Mytilus edulis: one gene and its partners. The protein of the gene in region 3 purifies or fractionates together with the protein of the main gene of each other region. This does not show direct contact. Links are inferred from orthologs where the notes say so. Each region holds a gene or a part of one and is shown on either strand. Other genes may lie near its edges.

Region 1 (6,952 bases), on a different chromosome or scaffold from region 3:
TTAGCTTGAAAAATAAATATATTCTCTCTATATTAAATCTATCTTCGATTGCAATGAGTATGCTCCTTTAGGATAAGGGGGGCTGCCCCACTCATTGCAATTATTCTCTTTCTTACAATATTAAGTAACTACATTTACCTGTACTTTAATTTACCTTTACTTTTAATTACCTGTAAAATCATACTTTTTGAATTAAAAATTATATATTGATTTATAAATGTTGAAATAATATGTAAATTTTTATATATCTAAAGTATGTTATATCATAATTCATAATAACTAAATTTTAAATTAGTCGGAATTAGTGTTATAAATGAATAAAACATATCAAATTCATTAATTTATATAAGCTGACATTTGCATAAAGATTAAAGTTTAAATTTATTTGACTTTTTATTATGTTTTTACTTCAATTAATAGTAAAAACAACCATGAAAATTTCAATCGACCAGTATTTGCCAGTATTGAACACTTGGGGAGTATTGTCCGGGGCGGTAAATACCGGTAAATACCACTGGTAAATACCGGGGGCGGTATTTACCGCCCAACCAACCTTGTTAAAAATACACTCTTTAATACATTGTCTTATAAATCTTTAATATCTACATTTTTCTGATGAAAATACTTTACTCATGAAAACATTCTAGTCAAGAAGCATACATGTCTGAATATATTTCTTTAAAACAGTTCTAGTCATAATGACATTCCTTGTTTATAAGTGTTCCAGTATTTAATAATTATACCATATTTTATGTCATAAATTGGATAATGACGCTATGTTAAAGTTTCAGTTTTGGTTAAAATTTTTTTTATCTGAAAATGCCTGTTCATTTGATGTTGGTTTTCAACATGTCCAGTGTTTGTTGTTTTAAAATGTTTTTTTTTCTTCACAAGAAACTTGGTTTAGTGTAACTGCTTGTTTAAACTGTATTTTGGCTGATAAAATAAAATATTTTTCCTACCTACCGACCCTTCAGTCTGAAGGTACAGTCGGAAAACTGCAAACAAACATATTTTTAAGGTTGGCCTAAATTAAATGAAACAAAACAAAATATGATTGAGTTAAAGAATAAAATAAAGAAATACCAATTTCTTGAAAATCATATATTGCAAAGAAAAATGATAAAGTCCAAGTTTGTGAAAAATTTTGGTCTCCTTTACATGTAACTAAGTGTTGTTTTCATATTATCTATGTTTAGTTCAGAGAAAAGAAATAATTTATAAATTATGAACAAATTTATTTCTTTAAAAAAAATTGTATTAAAAAGTAAGTCATGACACATATTGTAGCAAAACAGATGAGTGAAAGTATTAGTGTTGTATGTGAGTAAGTCAGAGAGAGAGAGAGAGAGAAGAGAGATAAATCAAATACAATTTATATGTAACCTAAAATATTCTTATTGTTAAAAATTAATTATATATTTTTTGTATAAATAAACCAATTTATCAAGACGTCTCGGCCATTGGCCTTCTTCAGTTCTTTATTTTCCCTCTCAACTACATGGCTGACATATATATAATGTCAGCCATGTAGTTGAGAGGAAAAATAAAGAACTGAAGAAGGCCAATGGCCGAAACATCTTGATAAATTGGTTTATTTATACAATTATAAAAAGTATGTTCCCTATTGGAATTTTGAAAACAAAGAAAAATTAATTAGTCAAGAGATTCATTTTGTATATATTGCTATTTTTTTCTTCTGTATTTACCCCTTGATACCATTGTCAGGTGGTAGTGTAATGGGGTGTGAAAAATCCTGACTATTGAAAAACAAATAAAAGATAAAAAAAAAAAATTAAATTCAAGAAAGAAAAAAAAATCTCGGGAAAGACATTTAATTTTTTTCTATGTTATAGTTTTTTTCATTTTTATTACCTAATGCTTAAAATTCATTTACTTTTAAAGGAGTTTTATTTATATAATAATCCAGTTTGTTAGAAATCTTGATCGATTTATTTTGCATAACTACGTGCATTTGTAAACAAATGACCCCCCATTTCTCTCTAAATACTGTTATGCGTATTTAAATCATACAATTATTTCTCAAGTATTGACAGAAAATTGATATATCCTCTGATTTTCTCTTTTTTTTTTGTAAACTGTTCAATAAGTTGGATACATAAATCATTTGGAAATGCTATTTATTTGAGGCGAGTCGACAATATTCTACTTTAGTTTTTGACCTTGATTCTCTGAACACCACATGGGCTTTGAAAAATGAACTTCAAAAGATACTGTTTTCCAGATTCTGAACAATATGATCTACTACACTTTCATTAATTTGACTGATATTATTCCATAACATAAGATTGTCATCCTATATGATTGTCATCACGTTTTATAAAAGCAAAAAAAAAGCCCACGAGTTAATGACCATCGGAACGTCTCTATTGTTATCATTCAATGACCACCGGAACGTCTCTCTTGTCATCTTTGAAAAGAAACGATGCATTCTAACTTTAAATACACAACCAATCAGTGACCTGAATTCATGTGAACTATATAATTTTAGCCCAAGGTAAACACTGACTTTTCATCCCTTGTTTATTGTGACCGCGACTTTGCGACAATACGTCTCTCGGCTGCCTGTAAACATTTGTAAAAATATTTTTTTTTCTTTTTGAATTTATATTTTTGTCAGTGAAGAAGCCTGCACTTGAAGGCACCGTAAACGGTGGATTTCCGCCGGCTAACGGCTTCAATGGAAAGCCCTGCGTTGAGGGTTGCTTATAGAGACAAAATACACCAATTAAATAAATCATCAACCTTGTTCAACTTCTGCTTTACTATGAACTCCACAGGAACAGTTGGAACAATGTTTTGTAGGTTTTCTCTGCAATAAATGTGATGAAATCTGAACACGTTGTCTATGATGACAAAGTTCTCTCGTCTTCGCAACTAATGAACTGATTGATCTTGTATTGGCATCTGTTTGTGCAACGCCTAATATTTGACGTGATTTGCAATTTTTCACAACCTGACAGGAAATCAAAGATGACCTTCTGAAAATTAAAGATGCCATTGCTTTTTTCTGTGAATTTGTACCGGAAAGCATGAATACTTGTGGTCAATGCGCATGACCTTGAAACGGGTGCGAGACTTATCAACCACGAGACATGTCGTCCCTTCACCATCTCGTACTCTGACAAATAGTACTTAACCAACTCGTACATTTTACTTTTGAATTTCTTCTTTAATACTGCGAACAGTTGACTACCCAATATTCTTCACCGAACTATAGACGATAAAAATATATCTTTGCATTTAAAAAAAACAAACCGTGTTAATGTATATGTTACAGTAAATAGGTGAAATTAGGAATTACATGTAATTACTAAAAGGAGTAGGTCCGGTAAGGACCGATTTTGGCCTCAAATTTCACGTTCATCTGACGAAAGATTTTGACAACTTTTTAAACACTTAAGTGTCTATTTTATTTAAATCAATTAGTGTATGTGAAAGATTTGAACTGATTTAGTCATAAAAAACTCACCGATTTAAGCTCAAATATGAAAAATCTACCAAATATGCCGAAATATATAATTTTTCAGATAGTTTTTGTCAAAAATGAAAGTGGCCGCATCCGTGTTCATCCTCAACCTTTATATATGTTATATTTTATCATAAAGTACAACTTACATTTCAATATTAAGGATGAACACGAATGCGGCCACTTTCGTTTTACACGAAAACCGTCTAAAATTTAACTAAAATGCTAGAATTGTGAAGATTTCAGTAAAATAGCATGACTTAATGGTGCTAGTACCCGATATATGTGCATTGTATTGTCAAAATCAGCCCAAATTTATGTAGCAGAAGCATTCTACTGTCCAATGAATAATTAAACGTTTACATTTTAACAATTTTGTAAAACTGCTATATTTTGGGGCCAAAAAGGGGTCTTACTGGACCTACTCCTTTAGGAATTACATGTAATACCCGATGCACCCAGTAAATACTAGTAATTCCTGAAATGGCCTAGTTATTACCAGTAATTACTAATTTTAAAATGAATTTTTACACCTATTTACTAACTGTTAAAACAAAGTTGTAATATGGTCAGCTGATCAAAAGTTAGGGTAATACTAACTATAGAAGATCAGCAGTGGCGGATCCAGAAATTTTCATAAGTGAGAGCCCACTGACTGACCTAAGAGGGGGCCCGCTCCAGTCACACTTCAGTGATTCCCTATATAAGCAACCAAATTTTTTCCCCAAAAAGGGGGGGGGGGGCCGGGCCCCCTGGGCCCCCTCTAAATCCGCCTCTGATCAGTGAGCAGTCTTAAAAAGTGATTAGCCTAAAATGCATCTTTTTTTATAGGAGCATTTTTTTGTTAAATCATTAATGAAAATGATATAGTGAAATTATAATTCACTTTAAGCAGTCAATCTGGATCTATTTTACTAAAAATAAGCTCAGAAACCTGCTTGATGAGTTGTGCACTTGCAAGTGAATAAATGGACCTCATTGAATACTTATTCATGTGACCTTCAATTCAACCCCTAGCTATAGATAGGTTACCGATGGATTCAGATTTAAAATTGTAAGGGTTTCATGGAACCCAGTATATTGCCTACTATTAGTCGCAGGCTCAACAAAAATGGGAAAAAAAATTAAAATTTTCCTCCATATACTATCTTTTGTCTAGGACTGTAAGAAGCTTTTGTCCAAATTTGGTTAAAATCCAGGATGGTTTATGAAATCTAATAAATGTTTAAGAAAAACTTTTACCGGAGAGTGTACGGTATGTTAACTGGAGAAAAAAACGAAGTCCATTTATAAGGAATATACTAAAAAGGATTTTTTTCCATCGTTACTTCTGGATATTATCTCATGATCAAGTTTGGTAGAAATCCAGGATATTTTGAGAAAGTTATTAAAATTTCAAAAACTTTAACCACAGTGTGAATGTAATGTTAACTGGCATAAAACTAGATTTATAAGTAAAATACGGAAAAACTCGATTTATTTTTACAAAATTTACTTCTTAAAAATTACCTTATTATCATAAGCAAGCTTCTGTTCAAGTTTGGGATAAATCTAGGACAATTTAAGAAAGTTATCAAAATTTCAAGAACTTTAAGGGTAACACAAAATTTTTCCTCTCGTTTAATTTTTCTTATTTTTACATCATTGAAAAGGTAGGGGTCCATGCATCATCTGCCAAAGTCTTACGGAAATTCACCGTTTCATTTTATGTTTAGGGTATATTGAATATGACCAGTTTTGGGGTACCCTACAAAACGGTCGAAAACATGTGCACTAGTAGGTAAAAATCATTGAGAGATTTTGCAAATGTTGTCAAAAGAAATACCCCTGACTGTTAAATTGCATAGAAGAAACATATTTTAAAGTAAATCTGAGACATAATGGTAATACAAATAGCCTGAATGTTAAAAAAATACAATTGATACGGCAAAAAGTCTGGTCAGCTCAGATAACAATTTTTTTTTCAAATTTAGACAGAAAAAAAATTGTCGTTTAATTCCTGCAAAAAAATGTTTAAACACTTGTTGGTTATTACTCTTTAAAATCACAAAATTTTACTTTATCGAATGTCTATCATCAAAAAGAGGTGACGAAGTTGCCTGTAAACTTCTCAAATATTTTTTCAATTTTGGAATGATATCATTTGTCTTGCATGCTGAAATTGATTTTTAGGGAGTTTCAAAACTTTAATAATAACCATTTTCCAGTTTTAATTCACAAACACTACAGAATATACACTTTTAATGTGCCTTATATTCCGTTATCCTTAATGAAATAAGCTCTAAAATACCTACCCTTTACGTTCTTATTTTGTATCTTGAATTATAACTTTAATTTAAAAACAAAAATATCAAGTTAGTAAATAGCTGTAAAAATTACAAAAAAAAAATCAGTGAATACCAGTTATCACTAAAACAACTGGTAAATACATGTAATTACTAAATTGGCTAGTAATTACAGGTATTTACTGAAATGTTTAGTAATTACGTGTAATTTCTAATTTCACCTATTTACTGTAACATATATATTATAAACTGTTAGAATACCTTTTCAATCCTTTTGAAACTATACATGGGGAATATACAACTAATAATAATAATAATAATAATAATAATAATAATAATAATAATAGTAATAATAATAATAATAATAATAATAATAATAATAATAATAATAATAACATGATGATGTTGATGATGATGATGATGATGATGATGATGATGATGATGATGATGATGATGATGATGATGATGATGATGATGATGATGATGATGATGATGATGATGATGATGATGATGATGATGATGATGATGATGATGATGATGATGATGATGATGATGATGATGATGATGATGATGAGATGATGATGAGATGATGATGATGATGATGATGATGAAACGCATCACGAAACGAATTGGCAACTGACAACTGTCATATTCCTGACTTGATTGCGGCATTTTTAAATAAACACAGGTAAGGTAAGGTAAGATTTCCAATTACAAAATCAGGGGCGGATGCAGGAATTTTCGAAAGGGGGGTGCTAACCCAGGGCACCCAGGGCAAAGGGGGGGGGGGGTGCAAAATATATGTCCCGATACAAATGCATTGATCGGCAAAAATAAAGGGGGGTGCGCACCCCCGGAACCCCCCCCCCCCTGGATCCGCCACTGAAAATTAATATGTATCTCCACAAATATGATTTTACATGGTTTTGGATGCTTTCTCTCTTCTAGACTGGAGTCTTGATTAAACATAATTATGACGATGTTGTCTGCTCTATGGTCGGGTTGTTGTCGCTTTGACACATTCCCCATTTCCTATCTCAATTTTATTGATTCAACATATGACGAGTATGGATGTGAATAATGATGATAATGGTACAGTTCTTCTTTCGTTAATCAGCAAAGGAAAATTTCATAAAACTGGTGTCGTCAAGTACAGGTGCTGACCAAAGTTTGACCA
Region 2 (8,051 bases), on a different chromosome or scaffold from region 3:
AACTCTTGTGGATAGCCATTTTCTTGGCCACAATACCACCTTTAATCTTTAAATTGATGAATCCATGGCAAAACATGAAAAAACACAACATAGACAACCAAAGAATAAGCACATGAATAACTGATACTGGTTTCATCAGGGATCTCCATGGCCTGTTTAACGATGGCACCCCGCCATCGTTCAAATGTCTTGCGCCATCGTCAAATGACTTGCGCCATCGTTAAATTGTCTTGCGCCATCGTTACATTGTCTTCCGCCATCGTTAAAAACTTCATCGTTTTTTGCAGCCCGACGCCATTTTTTTTTCAATTATAATCAAATGCATGTAATTGCATAACCCTTAGGCTTTTTATGTTATAATCCAATACAGTTCTAACGCCTGAGGGATATCCGGATTAAGATCGCTAATCACTTGTACCTGAGCTTGTACAGGTAGATCAACAAACCACACAGGAGAATACTATCTGAGGAAAGACGATCCATTTGTCGAATTAATCAACTAAGTTTTAGCAAATGATTATGATAATTTAGATTAAATAAAAAAATTAATAATCCAGTTACAAAGAAAACAGTTTAACAAGTCGAACACGTGCTTTATTTTGACTTACGTAATCAGCATCCCCCTTTTTTTAATTAGAAGTACAAAATAAGACGCAAAACAGTAAATATTATTTCATTGCAAATAACTTGAATACTAGTACTGCTGTAACGATAATTTAGAATTACTTTAAAAGTTTAAAAGTAAAAACTTAAATATTTCCTGTAAAGAAATATCGTATCGTAATTCCGAATTCATTTCGTATATTACAATCAAATTGATACATCCGCATTTCCGGTTTCTATTCAGACTCGAAAGATGCATGTTGCACAGCATCAATTTGACAGATAAAGTCATTAAAAACGTTTTCATTTGTCAATGTTTGCTTTACAAATCTCTTTAACCTTTTACATAACCCGTACGAATCGTTTTGTTGTTGCTGCAAATCAGCCATACCGGTAATGGGTTCTGAATTTCTGAATATGACAACTGTCCATGAAAAATAAGCTCCACATCATTTGATTTTTAACCCCCATAACAATTACCAAAAATACAAGAAATCTACATGGGGACCTTCATGACAGCTTTTGGTCATTCTCGACTAAAGGGGGACCACGAAGACTTGGCATTTGAATGGTTAAAAACGGCAATAAATGAAAATATTGATACTTCAAATTCTATAATGAAAATTCAAATAAATATAATTTAAATAAGCAATGATTTAGCATGTTCACCATTCCTTGTATAGAGGGATAAAATACTTCAGATCGCGCTACACTATACAGCGTAGACACGGTTTGTGATATGAAAGTTCCTCCATCGTTCAATTTTCATCCATGGAGATCCCTGTTTCATTATAACTAAATTCATCAAAATACAATGGGAAATAATCGTGATAAACTACAGACCAGTAAACTATGAAATTCTTCAATTTGTACAGGTCTGTTTTAAGTTTTAAAAGACTTGTATATAATGCTGATACTAACGTAAGTGACACAGGTTTGTGCTGAGGTACATACGTAAAAAGCGAAAAAAAATAACTGAAGCCCCCAACCAGGTTTGGGATTTTTAATCTGTCATTTGTCTGTGTTGAAGACCAAATGTGGCCATGGGATGTTTTTTTGTTCTTTCGATGAGTTGTTGTCTCTGACACATTACGTTTCCATTATCAAATGTATTACATTTATGTAATAAGGATTAAGGTTTATAAGGGCAGGCAGACTTGCCAAATATCCTGTTACATCAACACATTTCGCTTTTGCCATATTAGAAAATTGTTTACTACACAGAACTCCAAAGGGATTATTAAAAGTGTAATCAGATTATTTCCTTGATGATGATGAGGATGATCGATCGATTGCTGCTTAACGTCCAGCGGCATGATAATAAGCATATTTAGGAAGGGAACATGTTAATAAGAGAACATGTTAATGTAATATTAAGATTTACCCTGCTTTGTATGTAGACCGACACATTGAGCCAGATTTTTAACGTGCTAGCTCTGAAGGAATGTCACTTAACCAGGACACATTATTTCCACCAGTCTCTGCTCTTATTCTTAAATGCAGCGTCCTTAGCGGAGAAGAAGCAAATACCAATTTTAAAGTGTTTGGTTTGACCCGGCAGAGGTTCCAACTCACAACATCCCTCACTCGAGGCTAACACTCTACTATGACACCACCAAGCTGTTTACTCCGTTACAGAGGATAAATAGCTAAAAGTTAAATAGCCTTTAACAGACATGACAGATTGGCAAGGTAAATTGTTACTTACTACTGATAAAACTATACTTGGGTCTTTCTTGGAAAGACATCATTTGAAAACAGTCGAAAGGTTTTCTGTAACCCAATATTATATTTCACTTACCATGCTAACACAATTTTATACTAATTTAGTAATTAAATTTGTAAACAATTTTAGACATTTCTTAGTATCTGAAATAAATCGAAACGGAACAATTAAAATGATGTAAGAGTCATGTCATTACAACAAATCAAGATTTCCAAAAAGATTGACTTTACACAAAGAGGGAGAACAAGAGTATAAGTGCATTGTTTTCATCTCTGTCGATTTTTGATTGATGGCTTACCTTCAGCAGGGCAGAGCCCCGTTTGTGAAGTTTTACACGAAAGACAATACACAACGAAAATGTTATATAATAGGAAACTAAAGTATATCTAAATATGGTCTGGTTAACTATAATGTCGCCCTAATACACGCTGAAACAGATGATACATAGTCCACTTTTGAACGGTTGCAGTACAACATCGGAAAATGTTGGAAATCGCCCGGATACTTGCATGCGCAGAGCAAGATTGACCTAATTTTCATTTCTAAGGTCAAATTTTGCAAAATTTCACCAGTAAATGCAATTATTGATTGAATAAAAAGAGAGAATAAATAATATGCCTTCTTGCAAAAGCACCTCTGATTTGAAATGCACACGCTAATCTGTCTCCCAGATTTTTTTCTCGATAAAAGTCGTCTCACAGACTGCTTCCGGGTCATTTACTTCATTTGGAAATCTTTAGATTTTTCCATCGACAACCATTCCGAACGAACCAAAAATTACAACACATTTCCCTCAGTTTTGTTCAACACATTTTCTCATTTTTAACACTTTTATTAATTGAGACTTTACAGTAAACTTCAAAATGGGTATATTGGAAAGAATATCAGAAATTGAGGCTGAGGTAATATGAGTTTTTGGGCTTTGTAAAACTTCTGGAGTACCCCTTTTTTCATTCATTTGATACCATGGCCATGGGCATGGTGAAATATTACCCACCCATGGAATGAAAAGTCCTATGTTTCTCAAAACTTTCTACTACCAATATGTGGGATAAGCCTTTGAACATGTTGAATACGCTAGTGACATATATGTCCTGTGGCTGTGTTGATAGACTACGTTTGCTAGGAATGTCAGATAAATAATTATACCATATTATGCATGGGGTTTTGCGCTATTTAAAATGTATTGTCACATCTCCATTAAGGATATGATGAACAGAAAATATATGATCTGATGATTTAGTGCCTTAGATCAAGAACATATATATTGATGGGACTTGACTCTATCTAATAATAGAGGATTTCATTGTCGCGTCATTTTTTTTGGGTAAAAAAATAACACGATATGTAAATGAAAATGTGTAAAATATGAAATGGCTATTATCTTAATAATATCTAGTAATATCAAGACATGCCATTCAAACTAGGTAATGAGTGAGGCCAGTGTATTGAACTTGATTTCTGTCACTTCAAATTTGTCATTTATATAATCGAATTCATTTCATCACGGAACTGAATGCAAACAGAGTAATAAAAAATGGTGCAATGGCTTCACAGTAACTGTGAAATTCACAAACCAATATAAAGATCTTTGCATCAGATAAATCACACTTAAATGTATACTGCTTATTTTATATGACAAAATACATTGTATATCTACTTGAAAATAAAACTTTAATTTGTTGTATATTTGTAATAATGTGGTTAATTTATTGAACATTCTCAATGGTTTTGCAGTCAGACGCTTTCAAAATCCATCAATCTCTCGACATACTCAAGGTCGCAGGAAGTTTGGGATTTGATCAACTTTACACTGAAAATCCTATCAGATTTATTTCCTTTTAGATATATATATTCTGTTCCCAGCTTTAATTAATACACCATATATATCTTTGTCTGCCATAACTGGATATCACATAGGTTCCTTTAAATTTTAGTATTATTAAATATGGTGACCAATAACTTCTATGAATTTTATCTCTTTAAAGTTGTCTAATTCATGTCATTGGGAATGATTGCAAATAGTCTTATTTTTTGGTAAAGTGTCCTGAAATCAATTTTATGTTATCATGGTTTTGTTCTAGTTTATGAACTATGGTCAGTTTACTTTATTCTGATGACCTGCAGCCCTAGTGTGCCCAATATCACATGGGCAACATCTCGTTCCTTTTCTAGTTTAATTAGGATCCCATCAAATTATACTAAATTTCTTATTAATCAATTAATAGCAACTTATAAGAAAGTCTTGACTCTTGTACATTTTGCTTGAATTTGTTAGAAATACCTAAAAAATCTTCTGAAATATTTTATTTAACTGGTATTCATATTTAATATTCTCAAGGTAGTCCTAGCTAATTTATTTTAGCACTTAGCAGAGTATACACAATTTGATTGTGAAATAAGATTAGACTAAAAAAATATTATTTATAAAATTACAAATAACAGAAGGAAAATATTAAGGGCTATTCCAGAAAAAAATGTATGGGGGTGGGGGTTGGAAGGCACATTGTATTAATAATACATGGGTGATGGGTATCAGAGCAACTTTTCACACTATAATGCACTATAATTCTCAGTTACAATTGTCTGGGTGGCGTGTGCTGACAAAAACTGCCTTCCAACAACCCCCCCCCCCCCCCACCCCCTACATTTTTTTCTGGAATAGCCCTAAGTCATCTTGAGCAAATCATTTATTTAATTAAAATGGCTTAATTCGTGTATTTTAAAATAAAAATTGAAATTGAAATCAAACTAAAACTATCAAAGACTAAAAAAGTTTAAGTGTGTATAGGAAAAAACTCTTATTTTATTCCGAACATTTTTATTTCATTAAGAATAACAACAGAATAAAGAAATCAGCTATTCTTAACACAAGCACTGACTAAAAGAAATTGTTTTCTAAATAAAATTAATATTTAAACATCTAATTTTATAATGATTAATGGAAATAATTTAAAAAAAATATATGATTATATTCAACATGTTCAAACATATTTTTAAACATTTATATCTGTAAAAATATAATTGCAATTTAAAATAAAACTAGTACATGTTGGTGACATTCAGTTATTATTTGATTGTATTGTGTCAGTTATGTCGATAATAATGGTGTCGTCCTGTAGCAGGTATTTTCTTTGTAGCTGTTTTGAAACTTGAGAAACAGAACAGACATTTTGTTTATATAGATTAGACCGTTGGTTTTCCCGTTTGAATGGTTTTACACTAGTAATTTTGGGGCCCTTTATAGCTTGTTGTTCGGTGTGAGCTAAGGCTCCGTGTTGAAGGCCGTACTTTAACCTATAATGGTTTACTTTTTAAATTGTTATTTGTATGGAGAGTTGTCTCATTGGCACTCACACCACATCTTCCTATATCTATGATAACATTTCATAACATTTCCCAAAAATTTCATAACCTCATTTTTTGGAAAATGACGCAGTCATTGTTCCATAACTGCCGACCTGATTTCTCTGCCTACCGCGCTTGGTTTCGTATTTACTAATTTCAATACAAACTGGAATGTGCTTGTGTTATCATTATGCATGAGCATTGTGTAGTAATCAGCCAGGAACCAGTTTACAAACTAACTGGTTTCTGTTTGTATTCCACTACATTCGAACCAAAGTGTTGTAGTTTGACAGGAACCAGTCCAGAATTTTGTAAACTACAAAACGTAATCGGTATATTATCATTCCGTTTTGGTGTTTCATACCGACTTATATGGTTTGAATAAGCTTAAGACCCTTCAAACATTAATGTAATAGGCATATTAAAGACTGTTTTACAAAAGGATGAAACTGTTTTGCTTTAAAAGTCGTACTATAGTGATATATGTTATGTACGGATTTCCACTCTCACCGGTTAATTTCTTCTTTTACACGTGCTTTTGAAACTTCCTGTTTAAACATCGCAAGTTTTAAAATTGTTTTTTGAGTGAATTAAACTTATTTTAACAATCACGAAGCGTTCGGGAATCATTTCAAGCAGTTTCTTCTTCTGTTTGATGATGGAAAATAGGTTTTCTCAAGAAAATACCGCAAACGATCGCAGAGGAATTGAAACGTACAAGTCAAGTCGGCACCTGGTTAAATTGGCATCTAGTCAAATCGGCACCTATTTGACGTCAATTCGGCTTCCAATAATATTTATTATAATATTTTCTATTCAATTAATTAATAACTGTTACCAAGTACATAGTGAATATTAGGTAAACAACGAAACCAAAGTGAATATGTTGTTGTGTATAAAAGTAAACAACGAAGCTATTGTTTTAACCATTAGACAATTATTAAAATTAAATGGAAAACTATGAGTCCCTTTCAATAAATCAAACTTTCATGCCAAATAATTAGCAAATTTAAGGTGGGTTTTTTTTCAGTAATGTTTAAACAGCATTAAACAAACAATCCTGTAAAAGACTCAACTGGTTAAATAATGCATAAAAATATCCAATATCTCATGTATTAGTCCAAATAATAATGACGTCTGACAAGGCTATTTTATTTTTTTCTGGGACGCCTTCCTAAGACGCTCGTAGGAAGGCTTCCTAAGAAGGCGTCCCAGAAAAAAATTAACATAGCCTTGTGGTCATAGGAAGGTGTCCCAGAATAAAATTTAAAAAGCCTTGCCAGACGTAATAATTATTTGGACTACTCATATATATCATTAAAAATACACCAAAAAATTCATGTAGTTGAGAAAAATAAATACATACAAAATGTACATGAACATCCAAAAAAGTGAATGTTAGTATTAACTCTTTTTGCTTTAAAAATTTACAACTGCATTTAAGTATTGAATGCTTTTTTTTTGTAAATTCATTGAGGTGTAAAAGCGTTGACCGAAGTACTTTTTGTATGAAGCGCGTAAGCGTAAGCGCTTCATTCTAAAAATGTGCACACGGTCAACGCTTTTGCAACCCTATGAGGTTACAAAAAGAAACATTCAATACTTATAATTACTTTTTTTAGCTAGGATCATGAAAACACGAATTTTATAACTTTTTTATTCAATTCATCTGTGCACTTTATTGTGGGACCACGTGTTATCATGAATGAAAAGTTTTATTTAGTGATGCAATTGCTTGAGGAATAACATGTGATGTGCAGTTAGCCAATCAGAATAAAGTATTATAATGAAACATATATCAAATGTAATTATAACAAAATACATTACGTTGTAAGAGTTATCTCCCCAAACACTGTTTTTCTTGTGGCCACCTCTCCTTCGTAACCGTAAAAGATTTTATTTTACCAAATTGCTCGTTACATATTTAGGATAAGAATATTCGTTTGAACCATAGCTCTATGGGGACTCCATATGAGAGTTATTCCCCCTTTTTCATTTGATTCAAGCGATATGCATTTTCAACTGGTAAACCATAACTGATAGAGACCTAGGGTCTTCATGAGGTCATTGGTACTAAAAATGAAAATGAGGTCAATGTCAAAGGTCAAGGTCATATTATAAATTTTGATTTTGGCTTATTTTCACTTCTTTTCAAATACTGTATGACATTTTGACAAATAATTTTTCATAAATTATTAGTTGCGACATGTCCTTACTTGTATATTTTGGTTGAAAGGCTGCGCATACAATAAAAGGGAGTTTTTGTCCATCTTACATTTAAAATTACGCGTCAAGTGGTAGTACTCATTAACCAAACATATTAAAGACCTAGGATATTTTGATTCAAGGTCCATGGTTTGTGACCTTGAAATTG
Region 3 (7,445 bases):
TAGGCCTTTAGTTTTCTCATTTGATTTGTTTTAAATTTGTCATTACAGGGCTATTTATAGCCGACTAGTATGCAGTAAGGGCTTTGCTCATTGTTGAACGCAGTACAGTGAACATTAGTTGTTAATTTCTGTGTCATTTGGTCTCTTGTGGTGATGTTAGTTGTCTCATTGGCATTCATACCACATCTTCCTTTATATATTCATTTGAAGGTGCAGAAGATATTCAAAAGATATCTCTTCACCATCACAAAACAGGTCATGGAGATCCCTGAAAACGCACACATAATTATCATTATACTATAAATCATTTTATATATCTTGTTCCTAATTCATCTTTGTAACATTGCTAGTAAGACTATAAATATATAATAATGCAGACCTCTATGAGAACAACCTAAACAAAGCACATGCAAATACAAAAGTCCAATCAATCGATAGTCACTCAAGTCTTTCAGCAATGATTGCATTTTGTGGAACAATTGAAGTGGCTATTTCCTTAATTCGACTTGTTAGACTCTTAATGGTCTATGGGTATAAATCTTATTGTTTGTACACCCTGATACCTGTTCGCCCAGGGTCCATTCGCCCTGATTTTTATTTTTTTCAAAGTGTTGTCTAGTTGCATAATTCTAAATATTTGAACAAAATATGTTAAAATTTGACATTATTTATATTGCCACAACCAATTTATAATTTTCCCTTTGATTTGCAGAGTAGAATACTGGAAAACAATGTCATGAATGTATTTATCTTTATTGATATTTGTTAACAAAAAAATTGTAATTTGTATTCAGTCAATCATGAATCAATGTATGCAGTATAACTGAGACTAGTCTAAGAGTATAAGAATAAATGAACTTGTAAATCTGTCTCATGCAGTGATCGGGAAGGTCGTGCGCCTTGCGCCTATAGCGCATATTGACAAGCAATGGCGCATACATTGATAAATGTAAGCGCCCACGTGGCGCACGATAGTTTTCACTTCGTTTCGAAACGTTTAGATATCGTCAAATGAATTTCCGATAATGTTCCGTGCCGCCATGTGTGTGTACACAACTGTGTAAAGTTCCTCTAATAATAGGAGCACCTATATATTTTTGGGACGTCTCGGGTGTTTTCCTATCATAATAGAACCATGCAATTTAACGTCTCGGTGTTTTCCTATTGTAATAATAGAACCATGCGGTCTAACGGATAACCCGAAAAACGTAATTAACCATCATTCATGATATATTATTTTTATAAACAACTTTAAATTTGTGAAATTTGGCTAGTACAGACGAGTTTTAACTCTAATAATAATCTCATTTAGTTTAGCTTGCTATTATTTCGATTGAAGAACCCCAAAGACTTTTTAGGAATATAGTTTTTGATCTCCATAACAGACGCTTAGTGTCCTTGTCATTTTTTGGTCTTTGGCTCGTTTTGACATTTTGTAAACATGACTTCAGCGATTTGTTGTTTTGTTCTATGAATTAATGGTACTCTATACTGTTTGTTATTCTTGTCAATGTGATGAAGTTACAATAATACAAGAAGTGCAGAGGAAATGCCCGAAATGTCCTCTGATAGATACGGAACGTCTGAAAGAAGTATGGTATCGACGAAGACCCAAATTTAATGTACAAAAAACATGAATATGAACAAGGTAACCGTACCAGTTTAAACATTGTAAATAAAGGTCGACTTAAATATTATTGGGGTTGGAAGAAGTTATTGTATATTCATTGAAATTGAATTACCAAATCACAGGAACAATATCCATGATGGAGTATATTTTGGCAAAGAGATGTTGATACTTACATTCATGATTTTATTTAAGTATCAACATCTCTTTGCCAAAATATACTGATACTTTTTTTTTTACAGAAGTCAATTCAAATGGCCTACTCATTTGACAACATGGCCCATTATTTTTTAAAATGGCCCATTGAATTTATTTTTGAGGGGCCCTGGGCCCATAGAGAAAAAAAACTTCCAGATCACTGCTCATGATTTACAGTTCGTACATCATTGTTTCTATTAATTTGAAGCTGAATATTTTATCAAAACAAAACGTTTGTTTTTATTATTAATCCATCAAAAGACAAGTATCACAATCAGTGAGCATTATTTTGTGATTGAATAATTAATAATCCTAAACAAGCCATAAACTTTTAAATATTTCCATGTTTCGAATTCCATAAATTTCAAGAATTTATACCATAGAAATATCTGAATAAGTTTATTTAACTTCAATGCCAAGAATAATATTTTTTTTAGTAGGGCGAACAGACTCTATGGACGAAGGAACTCAAGGCTAACAGACCCAAGTTGAACATGTTATTAGGGCGAACGGACCTGATATCCATTCTAACCATAATGTATCAAGTGCCACTGATGCATCTTCTTAGTTTAAGACGAAACCAGTGTAGGGCATATTAAATCATGACACAAGGATAAGCCAGGTATCTTTCACAACATAAATTCGTTTTTTTTATGTCAGAGTCGAGTATGTTTACTTGCATGATAATGTCTAAAGCTCAAACGTTACCGTGTTTACTCCCAAAGTGGAAGTGCTGGGTTTACCCATTGTCGTTTGTGCAAAACCTATCGCTTTTGTCATAAACTTTCCGGTTATTTCATGGCACCAAACTTTTGAGTAGGTAAAGGAATGCTGTCGCTTTTAACGACAAACGCATTTATTTTTTTGTTGCAGATGTTAATTTCACAACATGCATATATTTCATTTTCTGGAATGCTATCTATATTACCTTTCGCTAATGCAACTGTCGATTCATTCGGATCAATGGTATATAAAATACCCTCATATCGAATTCCTGCTTTAGAAATAAGACTTATTTTGCTACCAAGATATGGAATCCCCCCACTCATGATGGCAAGGAATCTCTAAACTTTCAAACAAAGGAGGATGCCAACGGATTTATCTGCTTCATCCAAAATATTGTATCAGCAGAATATAAGATGGCGGATGTTTTGATTCTGTCACGAGAGGGCGTACTTTTGAAAAAAGTGTCCCACAAATCTGTGATTTGCGCCTGCGTACTTCAGTCTAAAAATTTACTGCTAGGGAAATGGCGGCTGTCAACCCTCTAGATGATATTCTTAATAGTTCTGTAGATGAACTGGCAATTAATGCCTTAGTTGGCAATTTAGAAGCACGTCTAGCTTCCCCATCCAATAAGGATGTGTCTAATTCTTTATCAGATGCCTCAGTCAATAACAATCACATTGGCACAACAAGGTCTTCAACACCACAAAATAGTGGTTCAGTGTTCAACACGGCTACTGGAGTAGGTGCCAATGGACAAGCTGTATCAGCTCACAAAAACTTCACAAATTCTCATAATTTAAATGTTCAGTCTCCCTCCTCAAAAACAGACTCACAGTTGATTGGAATCAATTCAATATTAAATCCTATGAACTCATCACAAACAAGCAATATTGTTAGTACACATGTGAACTCATTGACAGTGAATAGAAGTTCTCCAATACCAGAATCAAATCGTATTCAGTCCCCTCACATAATAAGAACAGTATCAAACTCTCCAGGTTTTCAGAATGCAAGGAATTCACCAGTTCCATCGCCAAATTCAAATCCAGCCATATCCGCTAGTTCGCAGCATGCAATCAAACCAGACAATAGTGCTATTATTCAAAATGTTGCAATATTAGGAGATCATAAACCTTTAATGTCACAAGGAAACTGTATTCAAGTATCATCTAGTCAACAAATTCCAGGTGGACAAAATGTGTGTGTTAAACAAGAACCAGCAATAAGCTCACAGTATATTGTCAAAACCGAAAATATGCCTGTATCAAGTGTGAAAAATGAACCAAGGACAGCAGCTATACAAGCAGTGACAGGACTTCAAAATAGTGTATATACATCAGGAAATCATATTACACATGCAACCAATGTTCATATTGTAAATGCTCCAATCAAAGGCCATTCGGGTGTTATTACAGTGAAAACAGGTCCGCAACATGTAGTAATGCGACCACAAATTGTACAAAATTCAGGACAAATGCAAGTTGTTAATGTTAGTGCTCATTCAAATAGACCACCTGGAATAGTACAGGTGCCTCATGGAAAACACCAACCAGTCCGTATAGCTACACCAGCTCGTCACTCTCAAATAAACATTGCTCCAAGACCTGGTGGTGCTCCTGTAAGTTATATACCACTTGCTACTTTGTTTATTTTTTCTAGACTAGCTCACTTTAATCTGACATGGGCATGTAGAAGAGTAACAAAATTTTGAAAGAAAATGTAAAGATTACATGCATGTACATTGTATCTTTCGGAGATGTACATGTATGTTAATGTATAAAACAGCTATGAAAGATATACAATAAGCTCTTGATTAATGTTTGGTGTAATGTTATATTGCCTTGATTTCATATATTCAAACATGTTTAGGGGCACAGCCACAAGCAATTTTTGCTCCAGTTACCCGTATATATGACTTGTTTTAAAGTAAGCAACTGTTATTTACCTTATATATATGTGTACAGTAATTAACATGCACATGAACCAATCTACACTGTATTAGCACAATTTCTATAGTTTGTCATCAAAAGGGGAATAACTCTTTTTAGACTTTAATTAATCTAAATTATCATGCTTCAATTTGTAATTTTTCTTTGGCAATGACATAATTATACACTGCAATTTTAAATACACATAAAATGATGTGGCCAGATAGTATAAGTACTATCATAGCTACATGTACATGTATCATATCATAATGATGATAACTACATGTATCATGTGTAAAAACTTGACAAATTTACAAAAAAAAGTTCAATTGTTTACTACCCACCTGTACAAATGAATATATATAAGATTGTAACATTATCACAGAAAATAAAAAAGTATGATAAAAAACTGTACAGCTATCCAGATCAAAGGGAGACAACACATGTACACCTTTCTAAGGCCATTCAAAAAATAATATAATTGCTTGCCCCTCAGTCAACCCTGCTCAGGAATGTCTGTTTTTGCATCCTAGTAATTTCGTTCGTTTTCTTTTAAGAAATATAAAGAAGCAAGTGTATGTTTTGATTTAATTATTAAAATTGGTTTATATTAATTGTCTGATAATTTTTCTTAAAAATGTGTAATTCATATAATTCTTAAAGTTTATAATACATACATGTAGCTTCTAAATATCACAATAAATATATTGCAAGATATGATTAATTTCAAATATTTAAACAAAAAAGTCAAACCTTTGTGAGTTTTTTAGATAAAGTTCTGTGTAGAGCAATGCTGTTTTAGTTCAAGAATATACATTTTTAGTGCATTCATAGAAACCCTGCCGACATTTGACAATTGCAATATTTATATGAATTATATCTGTTTTCCTTTTATTTGGATTTGTTGTTTAAATGTCGGATATCAATATACCTCATTCAACCTTATACTAATAGACTAACATTTCCTGTTTACTTTTTTAGAATACAATTACATTACCGCCTGGTGTGCAAATTCCTCCTGGGACAGTACTGATGAGAAATGAACAAGGTCAGCTGATGTTTGTCCCTGCTTTACATGCATCTCAGCAACCTACTACACAAGGCCAAAGAATACAGTATGTCAGGGTATGTATTGATTGTCTGCCCGACAGACTTTATAGTATTATCAAAAGTTATTGGAAATTAATAATTATACATTGAATGAACTTTAATTAGTTCAAGCAAGCAGGTAATTCAAGCTGATTACGTCAGATGGAGCTATGAATTAACAAGGAGTCAATTGCCTCATTCCCCCCAATATACTATCTTATTAAATCATTTCAATATCACATTCTCTTCCAGATTTTCTGCATGGTGTAGTTTATATCCTGCCGTGTTTTATGTAGTCCTTAATTTTATATGTTACATGTTGGTAACAATTTAATTTGACATATTTAGACAATAGGCATGATAGGCCAACATACAACATGTACATATATGCAACTTGATACCTTGAATTCTTATGTATTTCAATTTACATGTACATGCATTATCTTTGTAGCCACCTGTAAGTTCACATCAGCAGCGCCCTCCAAATTCACAGATTGTGACTATTCAACCACAACAAGCACAACCTCCGAGGGTAGTCAGACCAAATACTCAACCATCAGTGACATCATCAGTTCCTACAGTTGTATCTCAACCACCATCTGCAAGTCAAGGTAGATAACTCAAAATTGTCATGAAAATTTTATTTCAATACTTGTTAAAAAGAAAAGTTCAGATAAAACAAAAATATAATTTAAAACCAATTCTCTTCACAATGACTCAATGACAGTAATATGACAGACTTTGTTTCCAGGAACTATGATAAATAAAGCAGTCTCTTTTCCATGCATGATTTTCAGCAAAAATAAACCCTATTCCAAATTTCGAAGTTTTAACTTTTACAGTTTTATTTTCATACCAAATAAAGGGAAATGATATTATAGACATGATAAATAAAGCTGTCACACCTTTTTCAGTTCTGAACCAGATAGGTTAATATTCAGGGACAATAATGCACCAATATCGTGATAAACCAGGTAGATTTTGATATTCTTAAACTAAGCATTTTATTAGATGATGAATAGAAATAATTAATGTTTTGTTTTTCTATCATCATTTCTGAATTTATGTTTACAGGTTCATTACCAGGTCATCATCAACAACCATTAGATAATGTGAAAAAATGTAAAAATTTCTTGTCAACTTTGATCAAACTAGCAGCAAGTCAACCAGAACAAACTGTGAAGAATGTCAGAGAACTTATCCAAGGACTAATAGTAAGTATATTTGATACTGGTTTTTTTTTCTAAAAATTGATTCTGCAAGGATTGCATATTTATTGGAGAGGTTTTTACAGAGGATTACAAACTTTTTGACATTTTGTTAATGACATATATATGCATTTTATTGCTATTATTTATCTAAAATCTATATATATATCACTAGCCCATTTTACTAAACTTTGAGTAAAAGTTTGGGTTCTTAATCATATTAATGCTAGTCAACTTCATACTTTATTTGGCCTTTTTCACGTTTTTAATTCGAGCATCACTGAATGACTGATGAGTCTTTTCTAGGAAAAAAACACAAATCTGGGGTACAAAATTTAAAGCCTGGTATCCATGATGATTTTATTCACAGATTTTTTTTTTAAATAAACATCTTTTCCTACTTCGTAATATAATGAGATAAAATTGTGTGAAGAAACATGTTTACTACAGTTCATATAGTATGCTATGTTTTACCACAGTGCTCACACATTTATCAATGTTTTAGACCATGCATATTTTTGTAATTTCCGATATATACTCATATATTAAATATTTATTACAGGACAATAAAGTTGAACCAGAACAATTTACTGAAAGGTTACAGAAAGAACTTAAATCATCACCTCAACCATATTTAGTGCCATTTCTCAAGGTAACTATAGCCTT

What was found.
Region 1: the proteins of protein LSM14 homolog A-like (region 3) and complement component 1 Q subcomponent-binding protein, mitochondrial-like purify together in Homo sapiens (affinity purification with mass spectrometry; 3 studies listed by BioGRID and IntAct, with this or other methods). This does not show direct contact. The link is inferred for Mytilus edulis from reciprocal best matches to the Homo sapiens genes LSM14A and C1QBP.
Region 2: the proteins of protein LSM14 homolog A-like (region 3) and eukaryotic translation initiation factor 4E transporter-like purify together in Homo sapiens (affinity purification with mass spectrometry; 3 studies listed by BioGRID and IntAct, with this or other methods). This does not show direct contact. The link is inferred for Mytilus edulis from reciprocal best matches to the Homo sapiens genes LSM14A and EIF4ENIF1.

What each region holds. Positions count from the first base shown.
Region 1 is NC_092349.1:26,143,284-26,150,235, forward strand, and holds the start of complement component 1 Q subcomponent-binding protein, mitochondrial-like, read right to left. Parts: upstream 3,073-6,952; 5' UTR 3,056-3,072; coding exon 2,767-3,055; intron 1-2,766.
Region 2 is NC_092349.1:11,805,650-11,813,700, reverse strand, and holds the start of eukaryotic translation initiation factor 4E transporter-like, read right to left. Parts: upstream 3,062-8,051; 5' UTR 3,047-3,061; coding exon 2,964-3,046; exon of another isoform or gene 2,628-2,963; intron 1-2,627. Other genes in the region: GTP-binding protein 128up-like, read left to right, coding at 3,193-3,231. UniProt on the Homo sapiens protein: EIF4E-binding protein that regulates translation and stability of mRNAs in processing bodies (P-bodies). Plays a key role in P-bodies to coordinate the storage of translationally inactive mRNAs in the cytoplasm and prevent their degradation.
Region 3 is NC_092348.1:83,812,320-83,819,764, forward strand, and holds the start of protein LSM14 homolog A-like, read right to left. Parts: upstream 3,009-7,445; 5' UTR 2,875-3,008; coding exon 2,754-2,874; intron 1-2,753. Other genes in the region: transcription initiation factor TFIID subunit 4-like, read left to right, coding at 3,075-4,172, 5,464-5,607, 6,023-6,182, 6,646-6,785, 7,342-7,431. UniProt on the Homo sapiens protein: Essential for formation of P-bodies, cytoplasmic structures that provide storage sites for translationally inactive mRNAs and protect them from degradation. Acts as a repressor of mRNA translation. May play a role in mitotic spindle assembly.